Ovis aries: one gene and its partners. The protein of the gene in region 2 interacts with the protein of the main gene of each other region in a pairwise test. Links are inferred from orthologs where the notes say so. Each region holds a gene or a part of one and is shown on either strand. Other genes may lie near its edges.

What was found. The genes of interacting proteins can lie anywhere in the genome.
Region 1: the proteins of SF3A3 (region 2) and ZNF212 interact in binary tests that used the Homo sapiens proteins (3 or more experiments, as listed by UniProt). The two-hybrid records come from large-scale screens. The link is inferred for Ovis aries from reciprocal best matches to the Homo sapiens genes SF3A3 and ZNF212.
Region 3: the proteins of SF3A3 (region 2) and TADA2A interact in binary tests that used the Homo sapiens proteins (3 or more experiments, as listed by UniProt). The two-hybrid records come from large-scale screens. The link is inferred for Ovis aries from reciprocal best matches to the Homo sapiens genes SF3A3 and TADA2A.

The regions. Positions count from the first base shown.
Region 1 is NC_056057.1:113,476,277-113,479,934, forward strand, and holds the start of ZNF212 (zinc finger protein 212), read left to right. Parts: upstream 1-800; 5' UTR 801-916; coding exon 917-940; intron 941-3,658.
Region 2 is NC_056054.1:12,722,711-12,726,359, forward strand, and holds part of SF3A3 (splicing factor 3A subunit 3), read right to left. Parts: intron 2,931-3,649; coding exon 2,861-2,930; intron 345-2,860; coding exon 180-344; intron 83-179; coding exon 1-82. UniProt on the Homo sapiens protein: Component of the 17S U2 SnRNP complex of the spliceosome, a large ribonucleoprotein complex that removes introns from transcribed pre-mRNAs.
Region 3 is NC_056064.1:13,423,891-13,427,580, forward strand, and holds the start of TADA2A (transcriptional adapter 2-alpha), read left to right. Parts: upstream 1-832; 5' UTR 833-882; exon of another isoform or gene 883-944; intron 945-2,031; exon of another isoform or gene 2,032-2,036; 5' UTR 2,037-2,202; intron 2,203-3,690. Other genes in the region: ACACA (acetyl-CoA carboxylase 1), read right to left, coding at 167-204. UniProt on the Homo sapiens protein: Component of the ATAC complex, a complex with histone acetyltransferase activity on histones H3 and H4. Required for the function of some acidic activation domains, which activate transcription from a distant site. Binds double-stranded DNA.

The DNA.
Region 1 (3,658 bases), on a different chromosome or scaffold from region 2:
CTATTCTTCTGCCATGGGTTTCCCTTGTGGCCAGCTGGTAAAGAATCCACCTGCCATGTGGGAGACCTGGGTTTGATCCCTGGGTTGGGAAGATCCCCTGGAGAAGGGAAAGGCTACCCACCCACTCCAGTATTCTGGCCTGGAGAATTCCATGGACTGTATAGCCCATGGGGTCGCAAAGAGTTGGACACGACTGAGCGTCTTCCACTTTCACTTCTTTCATTCTCCCCCGTGAGCTTTATACATTTTTTCAATCCGTCAAAGCACCTACCAGAGTGCTGGAGAAACAGAGGTCTACGCGTTGTGTTCCTGTTAGTCGCTCAGTCGTGTCCAACTCTTTGCGATCCCAACAGGCTCCTCTGTCCATGGAATTCTCCAGGCAGAAATACTGGAGTGAGTTGTCGTTCCCTTCTCCAGGGGATCTTCCCTACCCAGAGATCAAACTTGGGTCTCCTGCATTGCAGGCAGATTCTTGACCGTCTGAGCCACGAGGGAAGCCCTCCAAACCACTGAGAGATGAATTTAAATGGAACTAAGTGTTTGATAAGGAGTGGTAAACGTATCACGATAAAAACTTAGACAATTGCTTGTTTAGGGTTTATTAATGAAGCTGTGCTTATAGGAGGTTCGTCTTAAATTTGCAACCTGCCCTTGACTTGGAAAGTCCTTGTCGTCCGTCCCTCTCGGGCTGAAGGCCGAGGTGTTGTTCACCCTCCTGCCGCACGGAGGCGCCAGGGGAAACCCCGCGCGGCGAGGATCGGCGGGTGGTGCCCGTCTTGGCCCGGGAGGGCCGGACTCCCACAATGCACCTTGCATCAACACGGCGCTGGGGGCGGCTGCCGGGAGGTGCTGGCGGGCCCCCCAGGAAACCCCGCACGCAACCCGAGGCGTATTAGACGGGCCCCAGGTGGCAGCCATGGCGGAGCTGGCACCTGCTCGGGTAAGATTCCTTCTCGTGCGGGCCCGGGGGCGCGTTGGGGGTGGGGGAGCCCCTGGCCGGGGGCTGGGCTTCGAGGTGCGGCCCCGGCGGGGCTGGGCGTCGGTAGTCAGCGGCTGGCGCGGGTCCACGCTGACCTTCCCCCGAGGACCCCAGCGCCCTGCCCTCTCGCGGAAGGTTCCCTCCGCGTCGGCCGTATCCCCGGCGTCTTCCTGAGAAACTTCGCCGAGGCTTGTTTCATGTTCTTGGATTTGCTACCGTCCCGACCTGTTTTCGTCGCGCCCTAAGAGAGCCCGTTTCTTGGCTGGTGAGGAGGCGCGGATGGGAAACCCTGAGTCCCTGTCATTGCCAGCGAACTTACCCCGTGTTCCGGGACCCCAGGACTCTGCTTCTCTGTGACCAGCTCGTTCTCGGCCTGATGGGGCAGCCCTCGTTCCTTTTGCCGTGCTCTCTCCTGCTGCAGACTCTGCACTGGTTTGCAGCCGCGCTGGTTGAAGTTAAGGCAGGGCTTTCTCTCCCTGGGGGGCAGGCGTTACCCTCACTGTGTAAGTTGCTGGCTTTTTGTCTGGGAAGCTGTCGATCTTTCCGTCTCCTCTCCCACATGTTCCCATTCAGGGAATGGCAAGACGTGAAGCTTGGGCACGGAGTCGGGAAACCGGGTTTTAGCCCGTAACTCAGCTTTCAGCTATCCAGTCTAGTGATTTTAGGTAACTGTGTTCACTGTAAGCTTCTGTTTCCTTAGCTGTAAATTGAGTGTTTGGCTAGTTACTAGATGATATGGTGGCTCAGACAGTAAAGAATCCGCCTGCAATGCAGAAGACCCAGGTTCTATCTCTGGGTCGGGAAGATCCCCTGGAGGAGGCCTTGGCAACCCACTCCAGTGTTCTGCCTGGAGAATCCCATGGACAGAGGATATTGGCGGGCTGTAGTCTATAAGGTCACAAAGACTAGAACAGGACTGAAGCGACTGAGTTTGCATCACACAAGGTTCTTGGCAGCTCTGACAGTCTTTATTATTACGAAGTGTTGGTTACTTTGATGATATGAGAGGATTTGCTGTAGAAAGGGCAGGTGGAGTTCAGTTGGTCTTCAGGGCAGCATTTCTTGATCTAAAGACACTTTCAGAATCATGTGAGAGGGCTATGGAGATCCTGTTGTGAAAATTTGACCGTGAGCTGGGTGCCTTGTATTTGATTCTTGTGGGAAGTTGGTAAGAACTGAGGGGAAGGATTGGGAGACTTAATACAGTGTGTGTTTTCAATGAATTATGACAACAAGACACAAATGTTCATGATATCACTATATTTACCTTATTTGATTCCTTTAAGCTAAGGTGATCTAGTCAAAGACTTGCCTTTTTTCTCAGACCATGTTATAATACTAAAGTTGGGCTGGAGGATACATTACTAACTTCCAGAATACCTCTTCCTAACTGGTCAGTGCAGTTTCCTACATGTCTTCAACAGATCTTGTTAAAAGGAAGTCTTGTCCTCCAAAATCCCCAAGTATGCTTTAATTAATTTATGGATCTATCAATGCAGAACATATTTAAATTGTTCTCAAGCATATTTCGTTTCTCGTCTTCAGATAAGATTCTGTAACTCTTGTTTGGCCAGTATGGCCAAAGGGTGCCCTGATGAAAACAACGAAAAATCCTGAGGTGAGGGAACAAATATATTTGAAATGTAGTTAGTAGAACATATGAAAGAGCCCAAAGACTAAGTGAAAGAGCAAGCTCTTCAGAGATAATAAGGATTTCTGAAGCCAACTTTGAGGACATTTACTGAACATTCACTGGTAGTGTTTATAACCTCAAGGGACATTGGAAAATAGGCAAAACTCAGAGCCTAAGATGGGAAGTCTCAGACGCCTTCAACTCCAGTCTCATAACATTGAAACTTCAAAGGGCAACCTTAAGGGTGAACTGGAAGTAAGCTCCCACCTCTAGGGAGTGATTGCAGAGAAAATCATGACAAACCTTGGTGCCGAGAGATGGGTACAAGGTGCCCCTTGAGAATTCATGTTGACTCTCCAGTGGGCTTATTGCCTGAATTCATATGACCTCAAATCTCTGAAGTATTCAACACTTAGCTCAGACTTCAAATAATTCTCATAGATAAAATCTAAGAAAAAATGAATTCCCAATAAAAGCTATGCAAAAAGTAATGAAAAACTCTGAGAAAAAGCCAGTAAAATGAATGGACAAAAAATTAGTCATTCAGAGATTTCAGAGGTTGCAATTTCAGAAGAAAAACCTATTGGAATTCCAATAGGAAACACACTCAGTTTGCACTGGAGGCCATGTTTGATGAGTGGTTAATGGCTGAGGATATCATAGGACTGGTGCAAATACAAATACTTAGAAGCCCAGTAGATCCCAATCAGGATAAACATAAAGAAATCTCTACCTAGACACACGATAGTGAAGGTACAGAATACAATGCAGAGACAGTTCTTTAAAAAGATTGGCTTCAAATGAACCATTCTTAAGACTGATGAGGTTCATCTCGGCAACTCTGGAAGCCAACCAGCAGTAGACTAGCATCGTGGAAAGGCTAAAAGAAAATAACTATGTAGTCCCATATTTATACTTCTCAAAAGTGTCTTTTAAAAAAATGGTAAAATGTTTTCAGACAGAACTGACAATTTGTTACTAGTATACTCATTAAAGGAATTCTAAAGAATGTACTTAAGGTACAAGGAAACTTATCCTAAGTGGAA
Region 2 (3,649 bases):
CTCGGTAGGTATAGTTTCCACAAATCTCACAGTTATAGTTGATATTTAGGCCATGAAGCTTGTACAACCAGTAAGGAATGGGCTAAAAGAAATGAGACAAAAGAAAAACAGTATTAGACCAGTGTCTGCATGTGCTGCCAAAATGAGAGAAGGGGGAAAGAGGGCAGCGGAGGACTGACTTTGCCGTCCCAGCCCAGGGGCAGGTTTTTGGGGTTGTAAATGATCTCGTTCTCTTCGTCTTCGCTCTCACTCTCACTGATCTGCTCCTCCTCTTCCTCTTCCCGCTCTTCTCCAGTCCTCGCCTGCTTGCGTTGCACGTTTTCGTGAGTGAGATGTCGCTGCTCCTATGTCAGGGCCATGAATGAAAGGGGAGGTGAGAGAAGAGTGCAGAACAAAAAGGGAAATTTCCTGTTTTCCTATAACCTTTGTTGATCCTTCATTTTTAAGGATCAAGTTTTCTTTCTTGCACAACAAAAGGAAAGTCTTGCTTTCAAACAGAATTCCTCTTCAGCAGACCTTTCCTGATCTTAAAGGAAAAAGTAAAAACAAAACAAAAAAAACGGAAAAAGTTAAACCTAGCACTTGCCTAGTTAGTCATCTGAGGCCACAGACAATCGCAGAACAATAGAAGTCTTTTCTCTTCTGTCCCTAAACCGTTCCCTGAATCAGTCTTCCTTTCTCTTTCCCACTGTTATTGCCCTCACCAAGGTGACAACGTTCCAACTTGCCCCGAGTCTGTCCTCACTCCAGTCTAGCTTCCATGCTGTCCCCAGATTTATCTGCTGGAGAAAACCAATCTCGTGGCACACTTTGCTTAAAAACACTTTAATCTGCTTTCTGCTACTTAAAGGACAAGGTCCAACCTCTCAACATACAATAACTTTCCAAATTTTTCTCTGACTACACCATCCCTCACCAGACATACCCAGGGACAATGGTTTGTTTTCTCATTATTTCCTTTCACAGTAATTTTACCTTCATACTTGCTGTTTCCTCCACCTGGAACATCTTAATCTCCCTCTTTATACTTAGAACACCCAATCTCAAAGTATTACAGTGAACATCACATTATACTGCAGTTATCTGTAGCCCTCAGTCACAAACTGGGCTTTTCAAGGATAAGAGGCTATGTCACATTCACGACTGCATTCAAAGATTTAGCATAATATTTGGACACCAACAGGTGTCAGTAAATGGTGAAGCAATGGTAAAAATAATACCAATTCATAACAAGATCAACTTTTGGAACTCATTTTGGCTGGAACTGGCTGGAATTCCAAGGAGAATAGTGCCACCTCCTGGCGGGGAAAGCAAAATGCTCTCAAAGGTAGGACTTGTGGGCACACCTTATGTCAGGGGCACAGATGAGCCTCGCATTTGTCTTCAAAGGACCGGTGACTCAGTCTGCTGTCCACACTCAGTTCAGTTCAGTCGCTCAGTCGTGTCTGACTCTTTGCGACCCCATGAACTGCAGCACGCCAGGCCTCCCTGTCCCTCACAATCTCCCGGAGTCCACCCAAACCCATGTACATCAAGTCGGTGATGCCATCCAACCATCTCATCCTCTGTTGTCCCCTTCTCCTCCTGTCCCCAATCCCTCCCAGCATCAGGGTTTTTTCAAATGAGTCAGCTCTTCGCATGAGGTGGCCAAAGTACTGGAGTTTCAGCTTCAACATCAGTCCTTCCAATGAACACCTAGGACTGATCTCCTTTAGGATGGACTGGCTGAACCTCCTTGCAGTCCAAGGGCCCACACTAGCACAGTCCTAGTTCAGTGTGGAGAGTATAAGTATCCCACATATCCAATGTCTAGCTAATCCCTTTCATCCAAAGGAGTTGTAACAGTGGGATCCAACAATGACTCTAGTTTTATGAGTTATTATACACGTGGTCATCAAACAAGGGCAAGAGACAAAGACATGTGGACCAGCTATCTGAACCAGAGCCACCTACTCAAAGCACCATGTGAGCATCTGGAAAGGAAAAGGCTCTGAGAGCAGTTGAAAACTGCACAAAGCAGACACTCAGAAAGGCTGGTCCTCTCTGCAGCACTCCCAGAGACAATGACCATCTTCCACCTTCTCTTCCCTGAAAGAGAATCATTTTCTCCTGCTCCTCCCCCAACTTTCTCTAAGATAAGCATCTTGGTTGGGTAGGCCTTTTTGTACCTGTAACCCTCTTCAGCTTCTTCTTGAAAAAATACTCAAGGAGCAGCTCACAGCCAGTTCTGCACCACTAACCTCCAAACCTAGTACCATGTAAGTTGCTCCAACCCTGTGAACATGTAAGTTATGCCTTTTCAGAGAAAGTCATTCATGAAGACCTGCTGCTGTGGGCACACCTATGTCAGGGGCAAAGATTAGCCTCAGTCGTCTTCAGAGGACTGGCAACTCAGACTGCTGCCCACACTCGCACAGTTCTAGTTCCCTGTGGAGAGTATAAGTATCCCACGTATCCAACGTCTGGCTAACCTCCTTTTATCCAAAGCAGGTGTAAAAGAGGGAGCCAACAGATGACTCTAGTCACATCTTACACACCTTTTGAGTGTCTGCTTCCTGGATCACCCCTGGCTCTATTCTGGAGCTCAGGGAAAGAATCTGGATTCTACATGGAGAGGGGAGTCTACTCTCCCACCCAGCCTCAGGGGATTGAGCAAACCTAGGAATGTCACCTAACAACAGACCCCTAACAACAGAGCAGGACCTCAGTGAAGGGCTAAATACCATGGGAGAACACAATTTTCGGCTACAGTAGTTTGATCTATGCATTTTCTCTTGCAATCGTAAAAAATATCCTACAAGTTCATAGCTTCTTACTTCCACAACTTGGAGCATTTACAGCCCTCAGCTGAGTCACTTACCCCAAGAATCTCTACATATTCGTATATCTGGGCTTCAAGGAAAGCAATGTCTTTGTTCCTCTCAGTGTCTCTGGAAATAAGAAACAAACTGTATCACTTAAGGGTTCTTTCACCCAATGCCATGTTCTCTATATCTGGGAATATTTATTCCATAGGAGCATCTAAAATTACAAGCACAAGAGAAACATCACGTTGTGAAAGCAAATGTTCTGTTCAGCTCAGGACTTGTTATCTTTATTTATTTTTAATTAAAAAAATATTTTTGGCCATGCTATGTGGCTTATAGGATCTTAGCTTCCCAAGAATCAAATCCAAGCCCTCTACAGTGGAAGCGAGCAGTCTAAACCACTGGACTGCCAGGCATTTTTCTCGAGATTATTTCTTAGAATGCATAGAAGCTTCCTCTTTGACCTCATTCTAGAGAGTGAAAGGCATGTCCAGGTATTTAAATTCCTATACAAAGGAAATGTGGTACAGAAGGGCAAGCTCTGGAAGAGGCAGACTTGGGCCCAAGTCTTGCTACTTAGTAACTGTGAGATAACAGGTATAACTTTTCTAAGTCCTTATCTGTCAAAGATGAGGATAACAAATACTTTTCAAGCTTGTTTTGAGAATTAGCAAAATCACATATAAAAAAAATACCCTGTACAAGCATGTGGCTCAGGAACAGATTCAACTGTTACTAGCAAAAATGCACTTAGACGAACACTTTTGAACCAACTTACCCTCTATAACCTACAGAGGTAACAAAAGATACCCGGGGTACAGTTTCAACTTTAGAGACGTCAC
Region 3 (3,690 bases), on a different chromosome or scaffold from region 2:
AATGGGGATGGTAACAATGAGTGTCTACCCCACAAGGTTGTTTCTGAATATTAAATGAGACCATGTTTGCAGCCTCCTTTGTACAATACCTGGCATGCAGTAAATACCCAACAAATGGCAGCTATTACAATAATTAGTAGTAGTAACAAGAGATGTCGGGACATACCTAGCCCTCAAGATTGACATCAGAGTGGACCACCACATCCTCTCATCATTGCGCCTCAATCTGGGCCCCTGAAGCCCAAAGAGGGGATGGTTCTTTCCAAAGATGATAGTTTCGACGTTCCAGGAGCATCTGAATCAAACGTACCCCGTGTACCCTTAAACCATTCAGGCAGTCTGATTAATCCACGAGCGGCACTGCAAGACCCGGCTTCGAGAGGCCACCCCCGCTCGCCGTCCTTGGGCCCAGGCGCTTAGCCTCGATCTCCTTCGAGGCGGTAACAAGGGTGGGAGTGGGAATGTCAGAAAACACAAAAGCGGGGCAGTACTGGCCCGCTCCGGCTCAGCGCACTCTGGAGCGGATAAAACGGCGGCATCAGGCACCAGCCAGCCTACGGCGACCAGCAGCACGCCCTCAGGAAAAAGTAATTACTGGTCCCACTCAAAACTCGGGCAGGCGGCTCAGAGTCCCAGCCTCTCAGGCCTCTCTGCAAGAGGCCGGCGGCGGCCGCGCGGCGAGAGCCCCGGACGGGGGCCGAGCCAGGGGCGGCGGCAGACGCGCCACCCGCGACCGGGCTTCGACGGCCGGGGCGGGGACTGGGCGGAGGAGGCGGGCGCGCGGCCCGCTCGCGCCTGCGCCGCCGCAGGGAGCGCGCACGCAAGCTCGGGCGCGCGCGCGGCTGGCGTTTCCTCGGCGCGGAGGAGGGGGAACGCGCTGAGGTGAGGCACGAGGCGCTGCGGGGCGGCTGTTCGCGGGCCGTGAGCCCCACTCGCGGGACGAGGTGGGAGGCGGGGACCGCGAGGGGCGGCCAGGTTGCGGGCGGGCTGCGGGCCCCGGCGGCGTCACGGGCGAGAGGGGCGGGCGGGCGGGCGTGCGGCGCGGGCCACGCCGCGCGGTGGGGGAGGGCGGCGCGGGCCGGGACTGAGCCCTGGGGCCGCGCCCCGCCCCCTGAACGGCCCGCCGGGTCCCCGCCTCGGCATTCCTGTCGCTGCCGCGGTGGAGCGCGAAATCCCGTTGTTAACAAAGGGCCGACGTGACCCCTTGTTTTCAGATAGGCCTTCCAAGTAGATATTTCGTATCTTCAGAGCTGAGGTTGTCTGAGTCTCCAGTAAAATTACGCCCAAGATCATATAATTAATGAGGGACCAAGTGAGGCTTCGAATCTTGCTGCGAATCTCTTCCAAGCCTGCCCCTGTCCTCTGCACCACACCGACGAGGAAAGGCTCTTCACGCCCCTTTCCTCCTCCTCCCAGTAACTTCTTGGACTTTGGCAAATGTTAACTTGGAGGTAGCAGCCACCCTTTCGTGAATGTTAGCGTCAGAAATGTCTCCAGTGAGAAGAACGGAGTGGAGAAAGAATTTGTGCTTAGAACATGGAGCATTTATGAGGCTATGTACATCCTTTAGTTGACTATCTCTATTAATCTCTGTTGAAGTGACGCTGCTGTTCACTAACTGTAAAACATACTGCAAATAATCTTTCAGGGCTTCTTTCCCTCCTTGAAAAAGCTCCATGCCTCAGAAGATTGTAAGGATTCACAGATAATCCACATACAGTGGTGCCACAGTGTCTAGCTTAAACGTCAATAAATGTTCGCTATTTGTGGCCCAGACGGTAAAGAATCTACCTGCAATGCAGGAGGCCTGGGTTCAATCCCTGGGTGGGGAAGGTCCCGTGGAGAAGAGAATGGCAACCCACTCCAGTATTCCTGCCTGGAAAATCCCACGGACAGAGGAACCTGGTGGGCTATAGGCCATGGGGTTGCAGAGTCGGACATGACTGAGCAACTAACACAATATTTTGTTACTGAGTGCATAATCCCTCTTACTGAACTCGTGTTTCTTCAAACTCATTTTTTCGGGTCTAGAGTAGAGGGAGAACCACTCCGACTCATCCTGAAAAAGACAAGTTCATTGACAGTGTTATCTGAGCGTTGTATACACTTACTGCTACTGCTAAGTCACTTCAGTTGTGTCCGACTCTGTGCGACCCCATAGATGGCAGCCCACCAGGCTCCCCCGTCCCTGGGATTCTACAGGTGAGAACACTGGAGTGGGTTGCCATTTCCTTCTCCAATGCATGAAAGTGAAAAGTGAAAGGGAAGTCGCTCAGTTGTGTCCGACTCGCAGCGACCCCATGGACTGCAGCCCTCCAGGCTCCTCCATCCATGGATCCTCCAGGCAAGAGTACTGGAGTGGGGTGCCAACACTTGATGACTTATTCCAAGCTAAAACTGTCAGGTGAAAAAAGTCGCTGTCAGAGAACTAAAGGTAACCTTTTTGTAGAACTAATACTTATTTGTCTGTTGTTCTTGTTTAGTTACTAAGTCATTGGCAGACTTGAACCCATATCTCTGACATTAGGAGGCAGATTCTTAACCATTGAGCCACCTGGGAAGCCCTCATTTGTCCATTACATTTGTGTTTATTGAATTCTTTCTGCTTGGCACTAGGTACCAAGTACTTTAAGACATACAGATTTGTATTTGATGCGGTCCTTGCTTTCGTTAGTTTAGAAGTGGGAAGAATACGCATTCAGAAGTAATTCTCACAAAGGAGAATGTAAACAATGCCGAAAAAAAGAGAGAGAGAAAAGGCTGTGGAAGATTAGAAAGGGGGGATTTTTTCTTTGCTTAGTGTGAAATAGGAGTTCATTTATGTCTTCAAAAAGATGACTTGGTATATTGTACATACCTACTTCCCTAGAGGTCCAATGGCTAAGACTCTGCATTCTCAATACAGGGAGCCCAGGTTCGATCCCTAGTCAGGGACCTAGATCCTGCAGGCCTCAACTAAGACCTAACACCATCAAATAAATAAATACAGGAAAAAAAAAAACTCGTTCAAATAATAAATTAGTGAACAAAATGTATGTTGTGATAGGATTCCTAAGTTTTCTAGTAATAGAAGTTCATTCAGATTAAAGTATTATTGGAAAGATAGAGAAATGAGGGGGAAAAAGAAGCTTGAACAGTTGGGCCACCCTTGGGGATGGGAACCTCGAAGGGCCAGATCTCATGGACCAGATTCTCTGGCTAGTGAATGACTGAGCTCCAACTACCCTCTGTCCTTGTGTATCTTACTCAATATTCAGGTTTCTGCAAGACCAGATTGGATTGCTTTAGCTGCTGTAGAGGAGGAGGATAGAGTATTGTGATTCACAATCTCACCAAAGCAGTAGGAGATGTGGGAGAGTCCATTTTCCAAACGATGGAGGGCTAAGGAGAGAAGTGATGCCAGGCAGAGAAAATCAGTTGTTTATTAGAACTGTGTAGCCTTTATAGCGGAGAAGGCAATGGCAGCCCACTCCAGTACTCTTGCCTGGAAAATCCATGGATGGAGGAGCCTGGTAGGCTGCAGTCCATGGGGTGGCTAAGAGTCAGGCGACTGAGTGGCTTCACTTTCACTTTTCACTTTCATGCATTGGAGAAGGAAATGGCAACCCACTCCAGTGTTCTTGCCTGGAGAATCCCAGGGACGGGGGAGCCTGGTAGGCTGCCGTCTATGGGGTCACACAGAGTCGGACC